2 linked regions of the Cricetulus griseus genome follow. The protein of the gene in region 1 interacts with the protein of each later gene in a biochemical or structural test. Links are inferred from orthologs where the notes say so. Each region holds a gene or a part of one and is shown on either strand. Other genes may lie near its edges.

Region 1 (4,222 bases):
TACTTTTCAATAGTTTATTGTATTTTCTTAAATATCCTTTCTGGAAATTTTCAGAAACAAAACATAAAAAAATTATATACTTTATTACAAATGGTAAACTCAGAATGCTTCAAATCTCTTATTTACAAACAACACTGGGCAGGACACCCAAACAAACAAACATGGAATAACTTACAAAGGCAGGAAGCTGTTTATTGACAGTAATCAGCTTTCATCAAATTAAAAAAAATATATATGTACATACACAGTTGAGGAAGGCAGGCCAGGGGAGTTCATCTGCAGTCTAGCCTGGCACTCACGAGCCTCCCTCCCCTCCCTAGCCCTCCCTGCTTTGTGTTCTTAAGGAGCACTACAGAAGCAATCTACAGTCTCTATTGCAGTTTGTAACCCCTCCCCGCCCCCCTTTAATACTGAATGAGATCGAATGTTAGGTCCATGCAGTTCTTGGTCAATGTTAACGAAAAGTCCATCGTTCTGGTCTCGCGGGCACAGCCCGATCGCAAAGCCTAGCAGCCAACAGGCCGCCGCTCTCTGGCTCCATGCCAAGGCAAGGCGCGCCACGTCCTTCCCACTCCAGCACACTGGGGGCGCCGTCAGGACGCAACCCAGTCCATCTCGTGTACCCTTGGCTTCGGTACTCGGGCACTTTTTTTTTTCTTTCGCAACCAGTCAAGTTCTCAAGTCTGTCTTTGTTATATTTTTTTTCTTCCATTGCCCCTCAGCCCTGACACTCTGTCCTCAAAACGTTTGCAACTGCTGCGTTAGCATGAGTTGGCACCCACTGTTAACGTGGTTCATGACTTTCTGTTTAAGCTGTGCCACCTGTTCCCTGAGCATGTTGGCCGTGGACGCCAGCTCCGAGTTTTGCGCTTTCAAGGTTTTCACTTTTTCCTCTAGCCGGGCGATCCTCTCCAGCTTCCTTTTCCGGCACTTGGAGGCGGCGATGCGGTTCCTCATGCGCTTCCTCTCCGCCTTGATCCGCTCCTGAGACTCCATGTCGATGGGGGACAGGGGCGGGGTCTCTCCCGGCATCTCGGGCACGGTCTGGGGCTCTTCCTTCAGGGCCTGCAGCCGCGGGTGCTGCACCGGGATCTGTTGGGGCAAGTGGTGCGGCGGCTGAGGCGGCTGCTGCTGCTGCTGGGGCTGCGACGGAAAGGCCAGCCCGGCCGCGCCGTAGGAGGGCGCCCCGCCGCCGCTGCTCAGCGCACCCGGGTTGAAGTTGCTGAGGTTGGCGTAGACCGGAGGCTCGCTGTGTAGGCTGGCGCTGTAGCCGCCGCCGCCGCTGGCGCCGGCTACCGAAGCCACCGCGGGAGCCACCATGCCCGCACCGCTGACCGGCTGTGCCGCCGACGTGACGCTGGGCAGCGTGTTCTGGCTATGCAGTTCGGCCAGGGCGCGCACGAAGCCCTCGGCGAAACCCTCCTGCTCGTCGGTCACGTTCTTGGGGCACAAGAACTGGGTGGGGGTCGGCGTGGTGGTGATGTGCCCATTGCTGGACTGGATGATCAGGCGCTCCAGCTCGGGCGACGCCAGCTTGAGCAACCCAACGTCGGGCGACGTGAGGAGGTCCGAGTTCTTGGCGCGGAGATGCGGCTTCAGGTTGCCCACCGGGTCGGCCAGGTTCAAGGTCATGCTCTGTTTCAGGATCTTGGGGTTACTGTAGCCGTAGGCGCCGCTCTCGGACTGGAGGAACGAGGCGTTGAGGGCATCGTCGTAGAAGGTCGTTTCCATCTTTGCAGTCATAGAACGGTCGGTCAGTTCACGCGGGGTTCGTCTGGGCTGCGCGCTGAAGTTTCGGGGCCGCAACAGCGCGCTGGGAAGCGGGGGACACCCGCGCGTCCCTGCGTCTGTGACAAGTAAAGTTTGTCTAAGAGCGCGCGCTCCGGTCGGCAGTGCTCCCCCCCTGCGCCCTCCTCCCCAGCTCGCTCCAGGGAGCGCAGGGTTAAGGTACCGCCTTCACTCACGTTGGTCGGCTCCCGCGCGCTGCCGGGCTTTGAAAAGTCGCGGTCACTCGCGGAGCGCTCTCGGGTAGTAGCAGTTCCTCGGAGACCGCAGACCAGCTCCAGCGACAGCAGCTCTCCGGCGGCGCTGACCAGTCGTCACGGAACTGTCGGTGGAAGCCCGCGATCGGGCTCCGCCGCCCGGACTCCGACAACTGTCCCCTCCTCCGCTGTGAGGGGGAGGGGGACGCTCGGCGGCCGCGGCTAGCGCTCGCCCAACTTCAGCCGCCTGTGCGAGCGGGGCTGAGTGTGGGTTCTTCCTCTTCTCCCCTTTCTTTACGGTCTCGGGGGCAGCCTAAGGCGCTGAAAAGGTTTGCAAAAGTTCGCTCCGGGCCACTTGTTCCCGGTCTTCTGGGTCAGGAAAGTTGGTGGTCGGCGTAGCCGCTCGCCTATTTCCTCGCTCGGGCAGGCACCGCTCTCGATGCTGTCAGCAGCGCAGGGACTTGCGAGCTGCTTCTCCGGGGAAGGCGGGAGAAGGGACTCTCCAAGTGCTCCCCAAAACACCGGTGCTGGAGCCGCGGGCGCTGGGTCCAGGTAGTCGGTGAGAAAATGAAGACAAACAGATGAGCAGCCCGGAGTCCGCGGCCGTCCAGATTGGCCGAGAACGTCCGTCCTTCCTTCCGTCCGTCCCGCTCTCTCTCTCTGCCTCTCTGTCTGAGCGCGTTCCTGCCAGGACGTCTCTGCCACACTCAGTGCAACTCTGAGTCCTTCTTATCCAGCCTGAGCTCAACACTTATCTGCTACCAGTCAACCCCTAAAAATAGCCCATGATGTCACCCCAAGGCCTTCCCATTGGCCTGCGTCGCTCTCAGGGGGGCGGGCCCGCCTGTCGCCATGGAGACCTCACCCCAGAAGATTCTTCTCTGGGCCCGCGAAGGCTCACGGGATGAGGTAATGCTCCGCTGCGCTCCTACAGTTGGGCCCTTCTTTCTCCTCCTCCCTCCCCCTCCCGCGCGGCGCTCAGGCTTGTGTTCCCGGGTTCCCTCCCCGGCGCGTCTTTCCCGGCCCGCCCGGTGCATTGTGGGCTGACGTCTTGGTTTGGCTGTCTAGTGACGGAGGCTGCCGGGTCGGCTGGACCCTTGCGGCGTCTGTCGGAGGCGGGCTCAAGTTCAGGGTTGGGGACGGGGATCGAGACACCGGCATCCAGAAAGCTGGGGAGGCTCGCTAGTGGCCCCGGGCGGAAGGCCTGGGTGGGGAGTGGAGGTGGCGCGCGCGCACGCACGCACACACAAGCACACACACACACGCACACACACGCACACACGTGAAGGGGCTGAGCGACCTGAGCTCCAGCAGGCTCTGCACCCCCACACTTCCGGGAGGCAGCGGCGCGGGTGAAGATGGTTGTGTGCGCCCCGGGTGCGGGAGCGAGAAAGTGTGTTGAAGTTGAACGGGCTTGAGTGTCCCTCCCACGTTGAGCACGCGTGGAAGTTTATCTCTTGGTTAAGTTCCAGAGGAGGATCTGTGCCGCTGTGTGCTCTACCTGGAAGCTAGAGATTTGCGGTACTAAGAACCGACTCGTCAGGGTCCTCGGCACAACACTTCACCCTCTGGAGACATGCGGGGAGGGGCTCGCTTTGCCTCAGAGGGACGCGCTTTCTAGACGTGAAATAAAGGGGCGACCCCAGCATCCATGGGGGTCAAAATCAACATTTAAGGGTTCAAAACTCAGGAAACCCCAGCGATCGCCTTTGCCCGGGCGCGTCTCGCGCATACGCAACCCGCGCCCGCCCTACCCCCCACCCCCCAGCTCCTGATTTGCTTCTGGGAAAACAAGTCTTGAGAGCCGCCGCCGACTCGCCCGAAAGTCACGCTGCCTAAGCGGGAGTCCCTGGTAGAAGCAGGCTAAAGTCTCCCCTCCCCGCCCGCTGGTGGATTCATATCCTGTGTGGCCTCTAGGAAGCGCTAGACACATGTAAGTGGTTTTTGTCCTAGGGTTCTGCTATCCGACCTCCATTCTCCACCACTTAGGACTAAAGAGGTGGCAAGCTCGGTTCTCTCATGGCCTAACTGCAATCTCGGAACTTCTCTGAGCTTTATTGGCCTCATCTGCAAGTAGAGCGGATGAGGTCCACCGTACCGGGCTGCCAGGCGTTAGTATTACCTTCCTTGATGCCGGTACTAGAAGCTGGTCAACTCACTGTCCCCTTCCCTGCCGGCCTCGGCATTCCCCCTGGGCCTTCCCGCCGTACCAGGCTACAGGGCTGTGATTTGGCAGGAAC
Region 2 (2,656 bases), on another chromosome or scaffold:
TCCAGCACATTCTACCTTTGGATCACCAAAGGGTGGGGTCAAAGAAACAGAAGGCATAGAAACCAAGAGCAAATACTTGCAGGAATTGGAGGAGGGGCCTTGGACAGTTGACTTGAGTGACACTCAGGACCCACTGTAGAGTGATCATGGAGTGTGCACTCATAGGTAGCTAATGTGCATACTGAGGTAGCTGAGGTAGGTTATCTGCCTGGATGTAGGCCCTTTCCTAAAGAGTTGTAGTCTACTTCCTACTGGAAGGTTCAAAGGTTCAGGAGAGTGTGTGCATGCCTGTGACACACATGACTGCTATGAGCTGCAGACTGGACAACTTATAAGTCCTGAAGGGTCATTGGACATTATATTGATGGAGAAATGAAGCCTTGTCCTCAAGGAGGAAGGACAGGACTTCCTAAGAATCCCACAGTATCATCTGTCCCAGCAAGAATCAGAATGAACTCTCCTAATGTTGTCTTCAGCCCCCAGTGTTGCTGGAAAGTGTGTGTGTGTGAGTGTGTGAGTGTGTGAGTGTGTGTGTGTGTGTGTGTGTGTGTGTGTGTGTGTGTGTACATGTGTGTTCATGCACACGTGTGCATGCATATGTATTTATCTGTTTAACACAGTTGTGCTTCTGAGATCTTGGGCTAGGCTCCCACACTGCCTACTTCCTTCTTGGGATACCGCCTGCCACAGTCGTCCTTACTGGATGTCCCTCTGAGTGGTATGAACTGCAGTTCCACTTTTTTGCTCATTTTCTTAGCACCTAATGTGTGACTGACCACAGAGATAACTCAAATGCCCCAGTGACCTTTTCCCTCTTCTTGTTTGACAGATTCAGAGCCCAGTACCTTGGACTCACAGTCTTCCACCACCTTGTTCCTGTCCTCAGAGGAGCCTGGCCCTTCTACAGCTGCACTGCCATCTCCATCCTCCTCCTGTGAGCCCCAGGCCTTCTCCCCAAGCTCCACCATGTTGCCCTCTCTCCTGCCACCTCTGTCCACTGCCTCTACAGCTCCAGGCCCCTGCATCCCTCGTCGTGGTGGGCTCTACACCATTGTCACCTCCTCCCCAGAGGCTGCACCCCACCTTGTTGACTGGCTGCCCAACTGCCCCTCTGCCACCTCTCCTGGTGTCCGAGGCAAGGATCACGAGCGACCACAGCCTGTGTTGGCCCCAGCTCCAGCTTTGGAAAGGGGCCACATTCAGCACCCAGGCTCTGCCAGGGATGATCATGCCGAGGGTCCTAGAACCTCCCCACCTCCCTGTGCCCCTGAAGTCACTATTGCTACCCTGGAGGCCAATGTTGGGGACATCCTGGTGGAGCTTCGGACAATGAATGGCCACCTGGACATTATAGCAAAGGCTCTCACTAAATTGGCCTCTTCCCTGGTACCCCAGCCCCAACCTGAAGCACCAGATACCAATTAAGGGAGTCTTGCATCTCCTAAAACAAAGGGATGCTGAGGGTACCACTCATCCCTGCTTCTCTGACCCTACCTGTGATGGAGATAAGCAAACCCGGTGGAAGAGCCAGTTACAGAACTAGGTTTGCTTACAGATTGGTCTTTCACTCAAAAGATGGAGCATCTCAAGCTGGTTCCAGGCATGTTGTAGCCTCTGTGCTTTCCTCCACCTTCAAATGCCCTTCTCTTATTTTAAATTCTGGTGAAAGCACTTCCAGAAGACTGTGTCAGGGCTTGGATCAAGGCGATTAGAGAAACAACGTTCCCTCCCAGTCCTCTGAGCCAAGAGAAGAGAGAAGAGGAGATCCTGTCGTCGTCATCAGAAACACCCTCCAGGACACCTCCAGCCTTCCTTTCTTGAGATGCTCATGGTGTGTCCACCCCTAGTGGATCTCACACACCTCTTTTCAAAAAGTATCTTTAGAAAAACAAATCAAGTTTCCTCATTTATACCTATGTTTCAAAAAGTTTGGGACATAGAGAAGGGATAAAACAAGGACATGGCAGAAAAGCTATGGGGGGTATTTAAGTCTTTCTTATTAATAAGAAAGCATCTTGTGTTACAAATAAAGTGTGCCTCTGTAGTCTGAGCGCTGGCTTCTGAGTTCCCCTCCTGTTCTCTGCTTTCTTCTTTCAGGTCATCATGGCTTCTCACCCTCCCTTACTCCTGGAGTCTTCAACTGTTTTCAGTACTTAGGATGAAGAAGCAGCTGAGGCTACTCACGAGTCTTAAAACTCTCAGTTCTCCCTAAATCTAATAAATTCATCTTTCCCCTCTGAACCGGAGTGGAAACCTAGTGACAGACAGTAGCCAGTGAGGAGGAAGCCAGCATCCCTGGCCTCTCTCTTCCCTAGATGTCTGCCACTTTCCCTACTGGGGACAACTCAAACTGTCTCCAGATGTTGCCAGTGTTCTCTGGCAGAAGGTCATAAATTTAGAAAAACCGACGTCCTCCTGAGGTCTCTCTTTCCCTAGTGGGGGCAGGATTCTTTTCCACCTTCCTTTTTGAAGTGGAACACACAGATACTGCCGGGGCATTCGCCAGAAGCTGACATCCTCAATAGGTCACTCAGTGGAAGCCAGTCGTTTCCCCAGAAAAAAACAAAACAACAACAACAAAAAAAAACCAAGGGTCTGAAGCCATATCACACTGTCGCCGAAATTTTCAGGGCACACAACTGGTGCACAAATAACA

The links.
Region 2: the proteins of transcription factor AP-1 (region 1) and Runx2 form a complex in vitro, tested with the Homo sapiens proteins (2 studies listed by BioGRID). The link is inferred for Cricetulus griseus from reciprocal best matches to the Homo sapiens genes JUN and RUNX2.

The regions. Positions count from the first base shown.
Region 1 is NC_048595.1:53,811,027-53,815,248, reverse strand, and holds transcription factor AP-1, read right to left. Parts: upstream 2,834-4,222; 5' UTR 1,965-2,833; intron 1,848-1,964; 5' UTR 1,744-1,847; coding exon 739-1,743; 3' UTR 1-738. UniProt on the Homo sapiens protein: Transcription factor that recognizes and binds to the AP-1 consensus motif 5'-TGA[GC]TCA-3'.
Region 2 is NW_023276807.1:30,828,288-30,830,943, reverse strand, and holds the end of Runx2 (runt-related transcription factor 2), read left to right. Parts: intron 1-829; coding exon 830-1,425; 3' UTR 1,426-2,051; downstream 2,052-2,656. UniProt on the Homo sapiens protein: Transcription factor involved in osteoblastic differentiation and skeletal morphogenesis. Essential for the maturation of osteoblasts and both intramembranous and endochondral ossification.